Caenorhabditis elegans: one gene and its partners. The protein of the gene in region 2 interacts with the protein of the main gene of each other region in a biochemical or structural test. Each region holds a gene or a part of one and is shown on either strand. Other genes may lie near its edges.

Region 1 (7,779 bases), 4.5 Mb from region 2:
GTGTTGCCACCCAGCAAGCTGCCGCTGCCACCAAGGTTTGTATTTTTTTTAGTCAGATAAATTCAATTCAATTCTGGTTTTAAGGTCTCTGCCAAGGCTACAGCTGCTAACGCTTCCGGACGCATTGTCGCTGTCATCGGAGCCGTCGTCGACGTCCAGTTCGATGAGAACCTTCCACCAATCCTCAACGGTCTCGAGGTAGTCGGACGTTCCCCAAGACTCATTCTTGAGGTCTCTCAACATCTCGGAGACAATGTCGTCAGATGTATTGCTATGGACGGAACTGAAGGACTTGTCCGTGGACAGCCAGTTGCTGACACCGGAGATCCGATTAAGATCCCAGTCGGACCAGAAACTCTTGGCCGTATCATGAACGTCATTGGAGAGCCAATTGACGAGAGAGGTCCAATTGCATCCAAGAACTTCGCTGCTATCCACGCTGAAGCTCCAGAATTCGTCGAAATGTCCGTCGAGCAGGAGATTCTTGTTACCGGAATCAAGGTCGTCGATCTTCTTGCCCCATACGCCAAGGGAGGAAAGATTGGACTTTTCGGAGGAGCTGGAGTCGGAAAGACTGTGCTTATCATGGAGCTCATTAACAACGTCGCCAAGGCTCACGGAGGTTACTCTGTGTTCGCTGGAGTCGGAGAGCGTACCCGTGAAGGAAACGATCTCTACCACGAAATGATTGAAGGAGGAGTCATTGATCTCAAGGTTAGTAGGAAAAAATGGTTCATGGTATTTAAATAAACAATTTATAGGGAAAGAACTCCAAGGTATCTCTCGTATACGGACAAATGAACGAGCCACCAGGTGCCCGTGCTCGTGTGTGCCTCACCGGTCTCACTGTCGCCGAGTACTTCCGTGACCAGGAAGGACAAGATGTGCTTCTTTTCATTGACAACATTTTCCGTTTCACCCAGGCTGGATCTGAAGTGTCCGCTCTTCTCGGACGTATCCCATCCGCTGTCGGATACCAACCAACCCTTGCCACTGACATGGGAAGTATGCAAGAGAGAATTACCACCACCAAGAAGGGATCCATCACATCCGTCCAGGCTATTTACGTACCTGCTGACGATTTGACTGATCCAGCTCCAGCTACCACATTCGCTCACTTGGACGCCACCACTGTCTTGTCCCGTGGTATTGCCGAATTGGCTATCTACCCAGCTGTCGATCCACTTGACTCCACCTCCCGTATCATGGACCCCAACGTTGTCGGACAGAACCACTACGACATTGCTCGTGGAGTTCAAAAGATCCTCCAAGATTACAAGTCCCTCCAAGATATTATTGCTATTCTTGGTATGGATGAGTTGTCCGAGGAAGACAAGCTTACCGTTTCACGTGCCCGCAAGATCCAACGTTTCCTTTCCCAACCATTCCAAGTCGCTGAGGTGTTCACTGGACATCAAGGAAAGTTCGTATCACTCGAAGAGACAATCCGCGGTTTCACCATGATTCTCAAGGGTAAGAATATTTAAACGTTGAAAACATTAAAATTAAATCAATTTTCAGGAGAACTCGACCACCTTCCAGAAGTTGCTTTCTACATGCAAGGAGGAATCGATGATGTGTTCAAGAAGGCCGAAGAACTCGCCAAGCAACACGGAAATTAGTTTTATTTTTTTTGTTATAACGCCGACACTTCGTTTTTCTTTTTTTCAATGTTTTTTGGTAGAGATAAATTTAATGTATAGTTTATTGTATTGTTGCGGTAGTGCTGTTTCCGTCAGACCACTATTTGGTGACTCCCAATACGTTGTTTTCCATCTCTCACTCTCCCTTCTTCGAATTCAACTACCAACCCAAATGCCCTAAAAGGCAACAAAAATAAAGCAAAAACATTATTTTTTTCACACCCCAAGTTCATTTGACTTCTAGTATATTTTTATCAGAAATAAACAGAAAGCCGATGATAAAACTGCGAGTTTGTTGATCGTCAAATTTCAGGTTAAACGAATGAGTAACAGAACGTATGCCGATAATCTGTTTCCACAACAGGTCGCGGAGCAGCATGAGGAACAGATGTCTTCTGGTTCTTCGCCCAAAAGTAATTCTCCCAGCAGAAGTATAAGCTCTGTTGAGGCAGCGAACTCTAGAATACACATCGGATGGATGGCCACAACCTTGGACGTTGCCGAGAATCTAGACCGTCATGTTGCTACTTTCTGTACACGACTGGGAGAGTTCAAGTATAACTTTGTCGTCTACCCGATTGGAGGGGTCGTTCGCGCATTCTGGACGCCTAATGGAAGGTTCACATCGACTATCTTACCCAACTTCAACTAGACTACTAATTTTCAGCGCGGAGAATCATCCACCTGTTATTGATTTGCCCGATGTTCAGCTGAGAAATGATCTCTGGGAAAGCTATGTTGTAGGAAAAGTATGGGGGGTTTTTTTTTTAATTTTAATTACTTTTTCGAAGAACAAGCCCTTTATTCTTAAATTAAAACCTGAAATTGTCATTTTTTTCAAGATTTCTCCATGGATCGACTGTGACTCTTCTGATCCAGCCTTTGCCTCGCTTTCCGAGGAACATCTTCTGAAAGAGCTCAGCTACATTTGTTATTTGGGTCTTCAAACGATGGCAATCGAGCTCACACGCATCTCGTCGCCTCGTACTGCTGCCATTTTGAAAAAATGGATTTGGACTAGAAATTCGCGTTTTACGTAAGTAAAATGCAATATGAAATAGCTCCTTTTTTTCAGTAAAATATTTTTTAAAAAAGCAAAGTTTATATTTATTTTCAGTGTTTGGGTTCAACTTCCGTCTGCAATTGAAAAGTGCAAAGATTATGACGCTTTCACAATAGAACATGTTGATTTATGGACAATTTGGGCCGATTTCCGGAAGAATTGTGGTAATTTCAGTGGTGTTTATTTCCAAGTGGCTTTGACGATCTCTTCGGAACTTCCCGATGAGCTTACTGAGCTTAAACTTGTGGACCGTTGGAAGGCCGAGCCCCTAGCAGCTTTTGTTATCGAATCGGGTCTTTTTATTTCTGGAAGAAATGGAGAAGCATCAATTCCAAGGTAAATTTCAAGATTACATTTTCAAATAAATACTAATTTTTCAGTGCCCACATAAATTTATTAAAACATCTATGGACAACTGATGCACTTCGGATCGTTCTTCGTGCCACAACGGATACATTCAAGTACAATACTTCTATCAAATCCGAGTATTCTCAAGCTCTTCGTCATGCAGTTCGAAATGTTAATTACCGAAGTCGTCCTGATGTTGGAGAAGGATCGAATGACTCCACTCATTATCTTAATGTTATCGAATACAAAGATGTTTTGCAAGCACCTCTTCAACCATTGTCTGAAAATTTGGATTCAGGAGTTTATAATACATTCGAGCAGGATCAAATTAAATACGACGTGTATGGAGAAGCTGTAGTTGGAGCATTAAAAGATCTTGGAGCTGACGGAAGAAAAACTGTTGTCATTTACTTGTTGGGAGGAGGACGTGGTCCTATTGTGAGTTTTTGGCTATTAAGTAGAAAAAGTCCCTTTTAATTCGACATGAAAACATATTTTGTGGCCAATTGAAAACACTCCACCCCCTGACCATGGGTCTCGTTTGGAAGTTGGCGACAAGCCGGAAATTCAAACATTTTGCAGTTAATTTTGCCAATTGTCTGAAGCGAACTGCAACATTTTTCAATTTACAGTTTTTCGGTCTAAATGAATATCAAAACGGGCATTTTTATGCGTCTCCATAGTTTTAAATATTATAAATTTCAATTTTTTTCAGGGAACGAAAATTCTGAAATCTGAAAGAGAATACAACAACACATTCCGACAAGGCCAAGAAAGTCTCAAAGTGAAGCTTTATATTGTTGAAAAGAATCCAAATGCAATCGTCACTCTGAAATATATGAATGTGAGAACATGGAAACGACGAGTAACGATTATTGAAAGTGATATGCGAAGTCTGCCGGGAATTGCGAAAGATCGTGGATTCGAACAACCTGACATAATTGTTTCGGAACTTCTTGGAAGTTTTGGAGATAACGAGTTGAGTCCTGAATGTCTAGATGGTGTCACTGGATTTTTGAAGCCAACAACAATTTCAATTCCACAGAAGTACACTAGCTATGTGAAGCCAATAATGAGTACTCATATTCATCAAACAATTAAAGCTCAAAGTATTCCTTATTTGAGTCGTGCAATTCCATCGCATGGTAGAGGTGAACCGGAATTGGATGAAGACGAAATGTGGATTCAAAAATACCCGTTTGTTTTTCAATTTTTTTATAAAAATATAAACATTCTGCCTTATTACCCCGATGCCAAATTTTGCTAGTCCCGGTCTCGATTAGACAAAATTTTTAAAATTAAAAAAAAAATTCAAACAAAAATCTTTGTTATATGCGAAAACGTGTGCACCTTTAAACTATACTGTAATCTAAGACTTGTTGCTGCAGAGTTTTTATTAATTTTTTATAGTTTTTTTTGGTTGGCATTTTATTATTTTAGTTTAGTTTTGATAAATTGATATTGATTTTTATTTAAAAAACTATGAAAAATCATGGGATATTGAAATTACAGTACTCTTCAAAGGTACAAAAAGTTTCGTATTAACGAATATTTATCGTGTAGATACCGGGTACCGTAATATTAGAAAAAGTATCGCTAAAATTCATGTTGTGGTAATAAATATTTCTGAAGTTTTCTACTCTTGTGTACATAAAGGCCCTGGCCGAGTACACGGAGGTTTCTAGGCCATCTTTTCTTGACGGGAGTATCCGCTCCACAAGTTATGCTTCAATTTACTCTTATTTTAGAATAATTTTTAATTAAAAAAAAAGCATAAAAACTTTTTTTTTAAATTTTAATAAACATTTTCTTTCAGACAAGGACATGTTCGTAACAATATGGATCAAATCTACGTTGTATATCTTTCAAAATACATTCCACTTGCCGAAACCACCAAACCAGTATTCACATTTGAACATCCAAATTTCATGAATTCAAGCAATGAGAGAAGCGATTCTATTGAATTTGTTATGGATAGAAATGCAGATGTAAGTTTTTCAGCAAAAAAAAAAAAAAAAACTTAGAAATTCTTAAGAAAATTTAAAAATATTTTTTCGTTGATTATTTGAGGTAATTTGCTTATATTAAATGCAAAATTCGCACAAATGACAGTCCACCTTTGAAAATAAAACAATGAATTGAAAAATTTTATTGATAAAATATGTGTTTATTAAATTAAAAATCAAATAAGTTAGAACCTAATTTATTTCAGCTGATGGGATTCGCCGGCTACTTTGATCTTCAACTCTACAAAACCGTGATGCTTTCAATTGAACCATCAACTCATACACCTGGAATGGTCAGTTGGTTCCCAGCTGTTATTCCACTTAGAGATCAATTGAGAGTTGGAGAAGGTGACAGAATTTCTCTGAAAATCGATCGAAAAGTTGACAATACTGGTGTGTGGTACGAATGGCATGTTGAAAAAAAGGTAACAGTTTTTGATAACTTATTAAGATTATAGTTGAGTTTTTTCCAGAAAACCAATGGCGAATCTGTGAGCACCCCGATCCAGAATCCAAATGGAGAGAGCTATTACATGAGAATGTAGTGCCTAGTTTTTCGCTTTTATAATTATTATTTTCCTGTTTTAATCCTAATTGTTGATGTGTTATTCACTTTTGCGCCCCTATTGAATTTCCCAATCATTCCTAGAATTTTTTCCGTTGGTTTTCCCATTTCCTGTTGCCCATTTTCCGGTTCATTAATTTGAAGATTCTTTTTTGCTCCGGTATCTATCGCGATTCGATTGTTGCTCCTTTTAATTCGATATTAATTGTTTAAAAATTCAGTTTTTAAGTTTCCGTTAATTTTCCGAATTAAAGAGCTTGTTTTATTCTGTTGTTTTTTTGTAATTTTGAATTATAGTTATTAGTTTTCATACTAAAACATATTTTTATAGAGATTTTAAAGTTTTCCCAATTATTTTTCATTTAAAAATATTTTCAGAATGTTGATAAACAGTTCTCGTTTATCAATTTCTTCAACGGGACGATGTCTTTTGGCATCTGCCATGTCACAAATGGACGAAGTATTCGGAGTACAGAAGAGACAAATGGGACGACGGCAACCAAAGCAGGGAAAACCACCAATTTTGCCTCCATCGAAGAAAGTGAGTTCTATTGATTTTTTCACTAGAACAAAAATTGGAACATAAAAAAATCCAATTTTTGCCGAAAAAAATGCGCCAGCGGGGCTTTTTCCCAAAATGACAGAAAATGTCTCAATATACCGAATATAACTGTTAGAAAATTTACAGTATTTTTCTAACTCCTTAAAAATGGGTTTTTTCAGTCTTGCAACAAAAAAACGTGCAACTTTTTATTGAAAAATTTAGAAGAATTCTATAAATTTTTAACAGTTTTAAATTTTGTTACTCTTATCTATAAATTCACAAAATTCAGGTTCTCTACCACGTTGTGCATGCTCCATGGCAGAAACCAGAAGATGTCGAGGAGCTCCTCTGGCGTCGTCATGCATACAACAATGCAGTTATTTCACTTCGAGAAGTATTCCGTGCAGAACTTGCTCAAAATGCATCTCATGGTCAGGGTATCGAAGCAATGAAAGAAGCAGAAGCACTTGAATTAGACGAATTAATTGCTCAAAATGAGAAGCGGAATGAAGAAAAACGGGCGGCACGTAAAGAACGAGAAGCCGAAGATGCGAAGGAAACAAAATCTGTAATTTTGGAAGAAATTCGAGTTGAATTGGAGAAAAGAAATGCAGGCAAAAAGCAGGCAGAAGATGAAGTTAAAAATGCAATTTCTCGTTCAAGTGAATTCATTACTCGTTCAAATCTTGAAACTAAAATTCTCGAAGCACTCGAAAAGCCAACAATTTACGATTTTGCAATTGATCGGGCTGGGAACAAGTATTTCGTACCTGAACCAGTTAAATATCAAGAAGGAACACCAACTCGACAAAAAGGACGATTGTATGATCAGACATTGGGTACACAACATGGAACTATCGAAGAAGCTAATAAGATACAACAGAAAAGTGTTTAGAGGACATGATGTGAGTTATTTTTGAACATCGAAAAATAAAAATAATAAAAAAATCTTCTAATGTAGTAATATTTTTGTTTTCAAATTTTTGAATTTTTTGAAGAAATGAAATTTTCATCTCTGGTAATTTCTCTACATAAAAATCAACTTTTTTTGATAAGTCTATAGACTAGACTACTATATTTCCTTACAATTTTTTCCAGTTTTACGAATTTCAATTTTTCAGTTCGAAAATCGAAAATTTTTCGACGACATCCATGTTCAATATAAACTTGTAGTTTGTGAGAAAAAAATATGAAATAATTGGAAAAGTGTTACACTTTTAAATATTTTCTGTAATCAATATTTTCGTTTACCTAATAATTTACTTTTTTTATTTCAGATTTGCCATTTCCCCAACTGGTCATCATCATTCTTCCCAAAAGGGACAACATTGTAGTCTACACACATTTCTTCCTAATTCGGATGATAACACTATAAGATAACTGTTCTCTGTCTCCGTCTCTTGTTCTCTCTTTCTCATTATTTTTTTTTGTATTCTATTTCCCTTTTTGAGTTTATACAAATTATATCAATTTTTGTTTTCTTTTTCTCTGTTTCAAATTCCAGTTTTCTAGACATTTTCCCTTTAGATAGACTTTTGCTGTTATAAGTTTTTGATTTTTTTCATAAATCTACAATCGTTTCATTTTACTTTCTTTAATTTGACTGTCTA
Region 2 (7,744 bases):
GTTGTTGTTTTTGAACTTGCTGCTTTAAATTTAAACGAATTACAATGTTTATTTCGCTGAATAATTAGTAATCCTTGACGTTCATTCTTTTGTTGGTGTGACTTGAAAAATTTAACGCAAATTTGCGAACGAAATTGATTTCCATTCGAAACGGAGCTCATGTATTCTGAAATTCTAATAGTTTTGTGTTTTTTAACCGTCAATTTCTGGAAATATAGTGTTTTAATAAGTATTTTACGCAGAAATTCTCCGAAATTTACGTTCGGGTTTCGTAAACTACCAAACTCGGTGAGCATAGCTAGATATTTTACCTATAGACTTCTGAGAGTTAAATAATTGATTTTTCTACTTAGTTCTTAGATTTCCATTGAAGAATATCTCAAAAACTACCACGCAGCTTTTATTTTCTCTCGATTAAATTCTTACATTTCTCTCTCATATCTACCTTTTCTGTTATAACATTGTACTATAATAAACCTAACCTGAAAGACCTGACCAATGCAATTTTTACGAATAACCTCCTAAACTAAAACTAATTTCTAAAATTTATGTATATTTCTTCAAATTACCTCACCATTTTACTTTCCCGTATCTTATAGGTCCGTTTGGACATCAGAATCCGGAAAAAACACTGAAATTTGAAATTTTATTTCTAAAACTCCATTATTTCTTCTCCATTTTACATGGTGAACAGAAAACCGTTCGACTAAATTAAAAAAAAAAGTTCATTTGGATCATATCCCTTTCCGTTCCAGAGTACTGTAGAATTTCACTTTATTTCGAATCAGCTGTCTTCGCTCTAATGAGAATTTTTTGAGTTTTCAATCAATATTATAATCGTCGATCGCGTTTTGAATGGTAGGCTCGAGTGCATATTCCAGAATTTCCAATTCCTTGTAGTTTTCATTTTGATTAAACTTAAACATTTCATATTTTCCCTGTTGATATTACAAAAGTTGAATTTTCTGCAAGCTGGTAAAGTCGACTGAATAAATATTTCAGTACCATAATATAATAAAATTGTCATTTCTGCCTGTATAGTTGTAGTAGACCCTAATCCATCATCTAGATTCTCGATCTCGGATAGGTATTTAGAAATTTTCAGAAATACGTCCTAATATTCAGTGTTGAGCTTCATCTAAGGTCATTCAAACACCTTCTTTTTTGATTGAGAAATCATCAAAGATTGCATTAAAATTCCTCATATATGTATTAAAATTGCTTACATTTAACCTTCCAGTAGTATTTGCTTACATGAAAAGTATTTCAACTTGACTTTCATAGGCCACTACAAAAAATTTAGCAACAGAGGAACACTTTGATCTAAAAAACCGATTTTAAATTTTGACTTGAATTTTTCACTGCTTTTCGGTGTCCGGCTGACCCGTGAAATTGCTCAAATGCTAATTTTGCAAACTTTTGGTGGTTTAAGTGGTAGGAAAACACAATGGAAGCTTTTTTGTAAGAACGCTGAAAATTTTCACATAAAATCGAGAATAATTTTAGATTTTTTTTCTTAAAAAATGAGCTGGATAAAACTTCTCTACAGAAAATTTTCAATAAAGTATTTAGCTGAACAGTAGTCTGAAATACTTTCAGATCGATATTTTTTCTAGTTCAAAAAGCTACTCTGCTGCTATGTCTTTTGTAAGTTACCGGTACAGTAATCAATGTTTCCTTCTAACTAGATACTATGTTTATTCATATCATTTTTGGTTTTCAGTTTAGGACCCTGTTGGAATTCTGCTTCCAACGAACATGACCGATTGTAGATTTTTCTATTCTAGAAATATTCGTATTCATTCACATATAATATACTCAACACGTCTAGCTATTCCCACACTTTATGTTTAAGAACAGTTCAATCATGCGCATTATCGTAAGAATCATGAATTACTGTATATTCGGATCCTTAATTGCACCTTCGATACCGAAAGATAAGGAAACGAGAGCGTAGAGAAACGGACGGAACGCCCAGCGCTGAGCAGTAGAGGGGCGCATAGAGTGTGAAACGGAGGCCCCGCCCCATCTCGGCCACACTATTACAATCTTGAGGACAGCAGCACGGCGTCGTCGTCCGGAATCTCAGTCTTCATCGTCGTCAACTTCAGAAGTCTATTGGGATGACTGAGAACTACTGCCAGTCTACCACCCTCCGCCACCCTGTCGCTCCGCCTCTCTTGGTGATATCGACAGTCGGACGAGGAGGGCTATTGCCCCGCCTCTCGCACTTTTTGAACTGCCGCTCTTCCGTCCTCCTCAGTTTTTTTGCTTCTCCGGTGGTATTTGATAATTTCCTTTTAGAACATTACACTTTCGATTATTCTCTATCTATTCAAGCCACTGCCGGCTCATGAGAGTTCAATGCGAGCTCACAAACTGAACCATTAAGTGCTCAATCGTGGTTATCGATTTTTCAGAGCTTCAAGTCTGGCTCTTACTCTGGCATTACACGAAGTGATAATATACAGTATTCAACTACTAAATACTATTGCTCTACGATTTTCTATGTATTTTGCTCCTAGTAGCTCAAATTCATTATTAAATTTAACTTTTATCTTTGCAACCTCATCATTCATCTATCTGTTTCGCTCTCGTTCTCTCATCTTTCAAACTTTGTTAATAATGTTATTTTCTTCAATATCACACCAAAAATTATAATCAAAACTTTCATCTCGATCCATTAGATGCTTGTAAACGGAGCCTGTCCAAATGGCATATTCCTTCGTGTGCGTGCGTGTCGCGTGCGGTTAATGTTCTACCGTATCTCGCGAAACGCGGTTTTCGTTGCGAGACACCCACAGCATGGGGCACCCGCTGTCGGCGTTCTCTCCCGATACACACTACTTCGTGGGTGGCTGACTCGTGCTGTCTGTCGTCTCTCCCACTGACCATGTTATTTTGACGAACGGTGTTCTGCGCTTCTTCACGATCATGAACTTTTGAACGTGTCACGTGGAAAATGTTTTGCAACTTTTTAAGTCAAAATACAGTTCAGAATCGGGTCAGTAGTACCATGTGAATCGACGGGATCATCTGAGAAAGAGAAGTTAGCCTCATAAGGTTGGCTTAGCAAATATCGATCGAGCTAGATATACCTGTAAGTATCTAGAGCATTCATGTTTTTAATGGTCCCAAACACCTTTAATGCTTAAAAATACCCGAATTTCACAATATAGATGCCCGCCTTCTTCATTATGCATAGTATTTTTTAAAAATATCTCTCAAGACTGCATAACAACTTTTTTTTGTTAATCCGTATATTACTATAGTGTTTCTAATTAAAATTTGTTTTCGAAGTTTTGCAAAATTGGCTATGAATCCAATTTTAAGCTCTAAATTTATGATAGCTACAGTAACCCATTCATTGGAATTTGATGTTATTAATTCAATTTTAGCATTTAAACGCTCCTTCTCTATTATTACACGCTTAAACAACTTATACAATGGTGCAGGTAAACTTTAAAAAGTGCAACCATCCTCCGTTCATTCTATTGATTTTCCATCTCCTTCTCTCTCACTGTCTGTCTCTCTTCAATTCGCCTCCTCTTTTCATAAGTGCTCTCGCTCTCTAACCACCCTCCACTCATTACTTCACCGATGTTCTTCTCACTCTTCCTCCTCCCTCCTCCGTTCACCGACAAAAATCCATATATCCATTTCATTTTTTTCAGAAACAAACAGCTATATCTGGTGATTTTGCCAAACTAACCCAAATAAGCGGGAACTCTGATGAAGTAGTGGTTGACGTGGGAATTCAAAAACCGACGGACGCAACCAATTCAGGTGTTCCGAGAAGTAGAAAGAGTTCACTTGGTTCGAATTTTGTCAAATATATACATTTTTCTACTAATTGATGGATGAACCACCATCAAAAAAATCTCGCGCTGATAGCGGTAAGTTGCTAGGAAAGTTAAGATGCTACGGTATGATCCTTTAAACTTTTCAGACTATGATTCTGGGTTAGATGCGCTAAGTGCTCTCGAAAGTCTCGAAGCATTCCCAACTTCTAGTAAAGATACAGATGTAAGTTTTTTTGTTTGAATTAACACTCTGTTTTATAAAAATTGTTGTTCAGGTAGACAATAATCCAAGCACATCAGCTGGAGGATCCGGTGGTCCTTCTGGCTCGACACCTCATCCACAAGGCACTCCACAACCAGCACCATCAAACAATGGCGGGTTCAATCTACAACCAGGACAGTCGCAACCTCAGCAGCCGCCACAGAATATGGGAGGAGGTGTCAATGGATCAGTGCTTCAAGAACTTCTAATGAATCCATCACAAACGTCGAACAATTCACCTCGGCCGCAGGCATATCCGCCTGGACAGCAAAATGCATTTAATAGGAGTCCAATGATGCCAAATGGTACACCGAATATGATGTCACCTCCATCTATGGGTCGAGTGCCGGGGCCCAGTCCTGGAGGTCCACAACCACCAGGCCCAGGCCAACCACAAATGCGACCAGGCCAACCAGGAATGTTCCAAGGAGATCAGCAACAGCAAATGATGATGGGTGCACAAGGACAACAATTCCCAGGAATGATGCATCGATATCCGTACGCACAAGGTGGTCCTCCACCAGGAGCCCAGGGAATGCCTCAAGGATATCCAGGAGTTAGTCGGGGCGGACCAACTCCTGGACAACCCATGGGACGTGGTGCTATGATGAATGGAGCAATGCCAAGAAGTGGACCAATGCCGACACAAGGAAGACCTGGAATACCTCCAAACCAACAAGCAATGATGCAGCCAATGATGACTGATCGGCAGTTTATGCAACACGGACAATATGGTCAGCAGCGACCAGAATTTATGCAACAATATGGTCGTCCCGGTGGATATCCAATGATGCATCAAGGGGTAAGTAGAAACTATTTCCTGATTTCTATTTCATTTTGGTTTGATCTTTAAAAAATGCGGGAATTTTTTTTGTTTTTAACCTAGAAAATTGGTAAGATCAGCATGATCTTAACTGTGCGATTCTGACAATTTTTGAAGATCAAACAAAAATGGAACACTTATTAGCTTGACGTGAATTTGGCCAAATCAAAATCGATGTGTAATTGAAACTTAAGTTTCCAATAATTCCCTAATCTTCCACAAATATTGGTTGGAAGTTGCTTGGAATCATAACAATAATCTTCTACATTTCAGATGATGATGGACAGTAATGGTCAACCGATTCGAGGCCCGAATCAAATGATGATGATGAGCAATGGGCATCCAGGAATGTCACACGGTCCTCCAAATGGTCAACCTGGACCACAAGCTGCTGCAGCACAACACGCTGCTCAACAGCAAGCTGCTGCACAAGCTCAAGCTCAGGCGGCTGCACAACAACAACAGCAGCAACAACGAGAGCAAGAAGCTGCGGCGGCAGCTCAACGAAATGGTGCTGGAAGGGCGACAACTCCTGGATCAAGCATGCTTGCAACGCATCAAGATCCCGAGAAGCGGAAGCTTATTCAGCAACAACTTGTTCTATTACTTCATGCACACAAATGTTCTCAACGTGAGAAGGTATGTTATACAGTATGTTCTGGTTTCCTTCATACATCATCAGCTTTTACAGGAAAATCGTGATTTCGCTGCGAAGAATCAACCACCTCCACATGCTGCCTGTACATTACCCCATTGCTCAACGATGAAAGAAGTATTGACACACATGACAAGCTGCAATGTTGGTCGTTTATGTCATTGTAAGTATATTACCCGTCGTGTCGCTTCTTTTTCTCTATCTGGAAAGAGTTTCGAACATTTTCGCAAGAAGAAGCGCCTATTCCCACCCAAAATTTCGCTTCACTCTAGCCACTGTTTGAAATCTCTTTCAGCCGATACCACACAAACTACAAAAAAATGTTCAGTCGCTCATTGTGCATCGTCTCGCCAAATAATAGCTCACTGGAAAAACTGCTCAAGGGAAGATTGTCCTGTCTGCAAACCACTCAAAAGGATACAAGATACTCCATTACAATTTTCATGTACGTTCTATCCTACTCAAGAACATTTTTTAAATATTTGATTATTTTCAGTGCCCGATCTTGCAAATCTAATAGGAGTCAACGGGAATTCGAACGGAAGCGCAGAAGGTGATGGACTTCATCAGTTTGGATCGCCAGCGATGCGAACTGGAAATATTACAAATTCTCTATTCGAAGGATTCAATGGCAATCCATTCCAAAACGGACCAAATCGTGGAGGACCGAGACCACCTGGTGGAAATGGAGAAATTCCAAACTTGCCACCACCAGATATGCCAGATTGTACGAAAGAATGGCATCATCAAGTCACAAAAGATCTCAGAAATCACCTTGTCGGAAAATTGGTTAAAGCGATTTTCCCGGAACCGAATCAGGAAGCGATGAATGATAATCGGTTAAAAGATTTGATAGCCTATGCCAGAAAAGTCGAAAAAGAGATGTTTGAATCTGCAAATGACAGAGAAGAGTATTATCATTTGTTGGCTGAGAAAATTTACAAGATACAAAAAGAGCTTCAAGAGAAAAAGAATTCAAGACTCAATCAAGGAGCTGCTGCACATGATCGTAAGTTTTTTTTTTTTAAAATTTCACCCTTTAACCAATTTTCATTTCAGAATACGCAATTCCACCGTCGAACGAGCTCGCTCAGATGCTTGGTGTGGAAGGTGGACGTAGTGATGTTCATTCTGAAGGAAGTAGTATGGCAGTTGCACCAAGTCAACAAAATCAACCATGGGGAGGTGCTCCGAATTCCAACATGCATCAGCAGATTCCTCCGAATGGACAAGTTCCACAGGTCAATAATTCTTCGACATTCCCGTCAAGTGGTAACAGCACTCCAAACATCGGAGCTTCATCTACTGTCAGTGCTATGCTGCAACCGAAAACTGAACCCATGGACGATCAGAATACAGATTCGTTAAGTTCAAGACCACCAACGGCTATTGGATTCGGTGGCTCGAGCTCATCAACGCCAGCTCCAATTATGAACGGAATTGTTAAGAAGGAAGAAGATCCTGAAGAGTCTTCAAATCAAGCTCCTCCATCAGTTAAGGATACTAAGGATGGTGTAGCTGAATCGAAACCTAAAGAGCAACAAGCAAAGCGAGAACCTACCCCGCCACCAACTGAAGATACAGTGTTCAGTCAAGAGGATCTTATAAAATTCTTGCTTCCTGTATGGGAGAAGCTAGATAAATCCGAAGACGCTGCACCATTCCGAGTTCCAGTCGATGCAAAACTTTTAAATATTCCCGATTATCACGAGATCATCAAGCGCCCAATGGATTTGGAAACCGTTCACAAGAAATTGTATGCGGGTCAGTATCAAAACGCTGGTCAATTCTGTGATGACATTTGGCTGATGCTTGACAATGCTTGGCTGTATAACAGAAAGAACAGTAAAGTATACAAATACGGTCTTAAGCTGTCGGAAATGTTTGTGAGTGAAATGGATCCAGTGATGAAGAGTATGGGATACTGTTGTGCCAAGAAACTTGCATTCACACCTCTTTCATTGTTCTGTTACGGTGCAGCAATGTGCACGATAGCCAGAGAACAGCAATACTGGGTATTCGAACAAAGTTCTACGCAGTACAATGTGACAGTTACGGAGAGATATACTTATTGTCAGAAATGTTTCGATGCTCTTCCTCCTGAAGGAATATCACTTTCCGAAAATCCCAACGATCGAAACAACATGGCACCGAAAACATCGTTTACGGAACAGAAGAACAGTGTTATTGATTATGAGCCT
Region 3 (5,972 bases), on a different chromosome or scaffold from region 2:
TGTCTCTATCTCTCCGCCAATTCTCACGGTTTTCCCGGTGAGTTACAACGAAGAAAATGAACACTTCGATAAAAAATATATATTGACGCCCCGGGTTACCGATTACCGATGCCCACAAAAATCACTTCTTATCAATTTTTAAATGGTTTTTTTCAGGACAATCTGATTTTTATTTTTTCTCACTCAACCTCCACTCTCTTCAAGTTCCATGCTCTCTTTTAACCTCTTCTACAGCTATTATTGTCGGCCACCTGCGCACACACACAGGGCCTTCTCACACACCATTTAGCATGGGCGGCCCCTTGATGAGCGATGAAAGCGAGAGACGCAGAGAAATTGGTGTAGCGGGGGGCCATGGTGCACTACCGACAGCGCGCGCATACACCACCACCAACCGCCTCTTGTCTTCTTCCCCCCTTCTTCTCACGTCCCCCGGTCCGTCATTTATTTGAATTTTATGGATCCTTTTCGCCTCGTTTTCCTCGTTCCACTATCCTCCCTCCTACCTCCTGCTGGGTTCTACGTTTATTTGCATTTTATAATTGGAGGAACTTCTTCATTCGAACATTTTTCGCTTTTTTTTCCCGTCATTCTTTTTGAATTTTGTAGAGCGAGTAGCGGCCTAGTTTTCGGCTAGGCCATCTGTTGCCAATGACAGATGTGTTTTGTTCACCGTATCGATTCCTGCTCTTTAATTTAAAATTCCCGCGTTTCGGATTTATAAGCAAAAAAGTAATTTTCTACGTCAAAAATAGGTAATTTTAAGGTATTTAAAGTCTGATCGTGGTGTCACCCATGCCAAAAAACATGGCATGCGCCTTTAAAGACTACGGTATATTTACAAAAATGTCGAAAAATGCGAATTTTAAACAAATTTAAAGATTTTTGATGATTTTCTCCTTTTTGTTCGGAATTCCCTTGTTTAAAATTTATGATTTTATTTTTAAAAACTCAAATTACAAATTAATAAGCCGAAAAATATTGTTATTCGCGGTGGTACCCACATTGAAATACATGGCACGCGCCTTTAAAGGTTACGGTAGACAAAAATACTTGAAAATTTAATTTTGAACAAATTTCGAAGTTTTCGATCAATTTCTAGATATTTCACATCGAAATTTCCTCGTTTCAAATTATTTTTTCAACGAAACAGCTCAAATTCGACATTTTTAAGCAAAGAAAAGTAATTTTGTTCGAAATTCGTGTCGAGACCCACACCAAAATAAGCGGCATGCGCCTTTAAAAGTTACGGTGGACAAAAGTATTTTTTAAATTAAAATTAAAACAAATTTCACCGTTTTTGCTGATTTTTCTTGAGTTTTTCATCTAAAATTTCGATTTTGTCGTCAAAATTTATCTCTAATTCAATAAAAATTCAACATTTTCCAATTTTAGAAGTCTAAACCTCCACTTTCTCCCCAAAATCCTATCGAATTCAAATTTCCCGCGTCTTTCCCCTCTCCATGGCCTAACTTCCGCGGACCTAGTCCCCCTTTTTTCTTGTTTTAAATGGTTCCGTGCTTCTTTTCCCTCCATTTTTCCGTCAATTTCCCATTAAAATCGTTAAAAAATGCTCTAAATTTCCAGATATAAAAATACACAAAAATGATGGCCGACGAAGAGCTCGGCGATGAGGTGAAGGTGTTCCGTCGGGATGAGGATGCTGACGATGATCCAATGATTAGTGGTGAAACGTCAGAACAACAGTTAGCCGATGATAAAAAAGAAGCTGTAATGGAAGCAGAATTAGACGGTGCCGGTCGAAATCCATCGATTGATGGTGAGTTTTCCAATAAATTTGATCGAAAGGGGAAGGTGGCCAGCTATCACACAAAATTTTATGGACCACCTCAATTGCCTTTCGACTTTATTACACAAAAAAAATATTTGAAAATTCTTCTAAATTTCTAAATTTCTGCAGGAAAAAGGGACATTAAATATTAAAAAAATACATATAAATTTAAATTTAAATAATTTAAATAAAAACTTTAAATGCTAAGACTGATCCCAAAAAAAGAGAAAAAAATCATTAAATTTGAAAAAAAAACCTTATTTAAATTCCCGCATTTTTTGTCTAAACTCCGCCCATAGAACCGTGCCGCACTTTGTTTTTTTTTCAAATTCAGCGTAAATCCATATTTTGGGGGTTTTTTTTCAGTTTTTAAATGGAGAAAAAGGTTTTAAAAATCGCCGAAAAATTCATTAAAAGCTAGAAAAACAACCCAAAAATTGGACTTTACGTTGAAATTAAAAAGTGCAAAAGTGCGGCACGGTTTTATGGGCGGAGTTCAAAATCGAGACAAAAGCGCGGGAATTTAAATTAATTAAAAATCGCTAAAATATTTTTTTTTGACAAATTTGAGTATTTTCAGTGTTATTTTGAATTTCAACCAATTTTAAAGCGATTTTTCGCCATTTTTTATATTTTAAAGTATTTCTAACACTTTATAAATGAAATTTACTCATTTTTAACCAATTTTTTTTCCGGTTTTCACTATTTTCTATTAAAAAAATCCATGCTAATTTCAAAACACCCCTAAGAATTGACCTGATGGTCCCGGGCCTTACGCAATGACATAATGACGTAAAAGGATGTTACGCAACGGTGTTCGAACACCATCTGCGTCTCTCCGAATCCCATACTATCTCGGTCCGTTATCTTGTGTGCTAATCCGTCGTGAGTACTTGAACAAGTTGGTCCGTCTGTGTGTGCTCAATAGACTGTATAGGGGTGCGAAAGGATTAAGAATTGGATAATATTCAAAATTGATCTGAGAAATTTGAACTTGGCGCCAAAAATTGACCTTTTTTGAGATCTGTGAATGGAAAAATCTAAAAAATTATGTATTTCAGGCCTTTAGAGGTGCTAGAAATTCCTTTTAAAATTTTACGAAAAATCGCTTTAAAATCGAATTTTCAATTGAAAAATCTAAAAAATGAGAGGTTTTGAACTCGGATATCACTATAAAAGTTGAATTTTAAAATATTTTTAACTGAAAATTGTGAAAATTTGCGAAAAATCGCTTTCAAAAATCGAAATTTTGAAGGAAAAATGAGATAATTAACCCTATAAAATTGAGTTTTGAAGAATTTTAACTAAAAATTGTGAAAATTACCGAAAAATCTCTTTAAAATCGGAGTTTTCATGAAAAAATCTGGAAAAATGAAATCTTTAACCCTATAAAATTGGATTTTAAAGAATTTTGACTAAAAATTGTGAAATTTGCCAAAAAATCGGTTGAAAATCAAAAATTTGGCTCTTTTTTAACCATTCTAACCGAATAATTATCAAATTTTCAGTGTTAAAAAGTGCATTTCCAAAAGTCGAACCAATGTCACCATCGTTTCCCGGTTTAATGTCACACTTCAGTCCTGGATACTCGGCAGCTGCTTTACCCATGTTTATGCCTCTATTTATGGTGATTTTTTACTTGGAAAATTGAAAAAATTTGAATTAAAACACATAAAAATTGGCGAAAATCGACAAAAATCGACTTAAAATTGTATTTTAGAGTTAACAAGTTAAATACTTCTGAACGAAAAATTACCGAAATTGGCAAAAAATCGGCTTTAATTGGAAGTTTTCACTGAAAAATCTGAAAACAAAGGTGAATATTAGGCCTCGAATATGTTATAAATACCTTATAAAGTTGAAATTTCAAGATTTCCCCCAAAAATCGACGAAAAATCGCTTTAAAATCCTTTTTATGACAATTCCCCCTATTTTATTAGAAAAATTATGTAGTCTAGGCATTAGAAATACTTTTAAAAGTTGCAATTTCAATATTTTGCCCAGAAATTGCCTAAGAAATGGGAAAAATTATGTATTTTGAATTTTTAAAGGGTTCGAGAGCCTCTATATTTTTGGAATTTAAGAATTTACACCAAAAATTATTTAAAAAAAGCGAAAAAACACCCTAAAATCGAAAGCTTTATTGAAAAATATGGAAAATTGTGTATTTTTGAGCTTATTCTTCAATTTGAATCAAAAATCGTCGAAATTTGCAAAAAATTGCTTTAAAATCCTATTAAAAATCATTTTTCCAACAATTTCTTCCCCAAAAAAGCAGAAATTCCAAAAAAAAAAAATTCAAATTTTTACCCAATTTCAAGAATTTTTAGGGCTTTTCTCCATTTTTGTAGAAAAAAAACCGTATTAATTTTTTATTCTTCCTACAATTTTCTTCCCCAAAAAGCAGAAATAATACAAAATTTCCACTAAAAAACTGAATTTATTGTCTTCCAAATCCAAAAATTCTTGGCTTTCCGCCATGGGGTTCTGGCCTTCCTCATTGAATTTTTCGCGCTCCATTGACAATCGCCCGCCGGACTGGGATAGTCGTGTACTCCACACGGACAAGTGCATTTAGTTTTACAACTAAAATCGAGCCGCGACGCGACACGCAACGCGCCGTAAATCTACTGAGCCAAAATGACCTAGTTCGGCAAAAACTCTTCCATTTCATTTTATGAGGGAAGCCAAAAATTCGTGAGAAATTCTACAAAATTTTCACCGAAAAACTGAATCTATTATCTTCTGAATCCAAAAACTCGTTGCATTTCCTCGAAAACAGTTTTTTCTTCTTTTTTGTTGGAGAAGCCTCATTAACTCCCAAAAAATTGCGTGTTTTTTGGCAATTTGTTTTTCTCGAAAAACTATTGGCGAAAAAACACCAAAAATTTCTTTTGAATTGTTGAACATCATGTCAAGAGCCGAAATTATTTCCTTTTGCGTCACTTTGGGGGGTCTCGATGGTGGTGGTAATTATGGTTGCTGGTACCCGAGACACGGATACAATAGACAATTAGACACCTCTGGGCCCCCCCCCCCCCCACACACACATGTTTGGACACCTTTTTTCTACAGACAAAAAGACGCGGAAAACAATAGGTTCAAAAGGTGTGTGTGTGTTCGTATTCATTCATTACAAAATGATGATGACCCCACACCAGAACAAGTGTGAGAGAGCTCTAATTGCTTCCGGAACATGATTGGTGCCACTTCCTGTAGAGAATTGACACTTGTTTTTTGAATTTGTTGAGAGCTAGCGGGGATCTGAATGATTACCGTACCTACCTACTAGGCCTATCTTCTCGGGGTACTGTACACAGACACGTGGTGTCAAAGTGTCTCATTTCGACTTGATCTACGTAGATCTACAAAATAGGCGGGAGAAGAGACGCAGAGCTCTCAACTGATTTCGCATGGTTAAGAACCTGTTGACGTCACATATTTTTGGGTGAAAAATTCCCGCATTTTTTGTAGATCAAACCGTGAAGGGGCAGCCTGACACCACATGCACAGGTTGAGCCAAGGTTTTCTGAAAAATTAGGAACGATTTTCCATTCGGTTTTTGTAGCAAAAACTAAAGGAACTACAGTACTTCTTAAAGGCGCGCAAGTTTGTTTGAATTTAACTTCGCTTCGAGATCGGGTACTGTAGTTTTGGCGCGAAAATTGCCATATTTTATCCCCTCTACATTTTTTTCAACTCCTTCTCGTTAGGGGTACTGTAGACAAGTGACTAAATACACCAATCTACTCAAACATTTGAGTTTTCACTGACGAATTCGAACTCTTTAGTAGATTTCGTGGAAACTGAATGACTACCGTACCTTTCAGAGCTGTGCGGCAAATCTTGAAAACTACAGTACTCCTTAAGGGCACACGGTCTTTTGAGATTCAAAAAGTCGGTCGCTTTGAGACCAATTACCGTTTTACTTTTAGGTATTTTCGAATAATTCGAGTTTTTGAAACTTTCAATTGAATGTAAAGTTGCTCTCAGAGAGTACAAATATTTATATATAAATAAATTTGAAAAAAAACTTTGAGGCAACAATCGGAAAATCTGATCCGTATCTATTCCATTTCGACTTAAGCCCCTCCACATCTCAAGTGACTGTTTTGTGCTCTGTGAGCAACTAGTGATAACACAGATACTCTAATGAGCTGCGAACGAGACTTGCAAAACA

Evidence for each region. The genes of interacting proteins can lie anywhere in the genome.
Region 1: the proteins of cbp-1 (region 2) and prmt-5 form a complex in vitro, tested with the Caenorhabditis elegans proteins (one study listed by BioGRID).
Region 3: the proteins of cbp-1 (region 2) and pop-1 form a complex in vitro, tested with the Caenorhabditis elegans proteins (one study listed by BioGRID).

Annotation. Positions count from the first base shown.
Region 1 is NC_003281.10:5,228,614-5,236,392, forward strand, and holds prmt-5 (Protein arginine N-methyltransferase 5), read left to right. Parts: upstream 1-1,941; 5' UTR 1,942-1,965; coding exon 1,966-2,261; intron 2,262-2,310; coding exon 2,311-2,392; intron 2,393-2,485; coding exon 2,486-2,679; intron 2,680-2,760; coding exon 2,761-3,042; intron 3,043-3,086; coding exon 3,087-3,492; intron 3,493-3,769; coding exon 3,770-4,251; intron 4,252-4,870; coding exon 4,871-5,042; intron 5,043-5,266; coding exon 5,267-5,485; intron 5,486-5,533; coding exon 5,534-5,605; 3' UTR 5,606-5,894; downstream 5,895-7,779. Other genes in the region: atp-2 (ATP synthase subunit beta, mitochondrial), read left to right, coding at 1-35, 85-714, 762-1,473, 1,522-1,622; mrps-26 (Small ribosomal subunit protein mS26), read left to right, coding at 6,005-6,166, 6,459-7,064. UniProt on the Caenorhabditis elegans protein: Catalyzes the symmetrical dimethylation of arginine residues in targets such as small nuclear ribonucleoproteins, histone H2A/H4 and cbp-1.
Region 2 is NC_003281.10:9,762,842-9,770,585, forward strand, and holds the start of cbp-1 (Protein cbp-1), read left to right. Parts: upstream 1-3,668; 5' UTR 3,669-3,856; coding exon 3,857-3,896; intron 3,897-3,949; coding exon 3,950-4,026; intron 4,027-4,078; coding exon 4,079-4,867; intron 4,868-5,161; coding exon 5,162-5,527; intron 5,528-5,579; coding exon 5,580-5,706; intron 5,707-5,838; coding exon 5,839-5,988; intron 5,989-6,039; coding exon 6,040-6,552; intron 6,553-6,602; coding exon 6,603-7,744. UniProt on the Caenorhabditis elegans protein: Acetyltransferase enzyme. Acetylates histones, giving a specific tag for transcriptional activation. May prevent DNA damage-induced apoptosis by inhibiting cep-1-dependent transcription activation of the programmed cell death activator egl-1.
Region 3 is NC_003279.8:2,825,927-2,831,898, reverse strand, and holds the start of pop-1 (Protein pop-1), read left to right. Parts: upstream 1-1,587; 5' UTR 1,588-1,605; coding exon 1,606-1,780; intron 1,781-3,300; coding exon 3,301-3,419; intron 3,420-4,825; exon of another isoform or gene 4,826-5,016; intron 5,017-5,972. UniProt on the Caenorhabditis elegans protein: Transcription factor. Part of the Wnt signaling asymmetry pathway. Binds to the consensus sequence, 5'-(C/T)TTTG(A/T)(A/T)(G/C)-3'.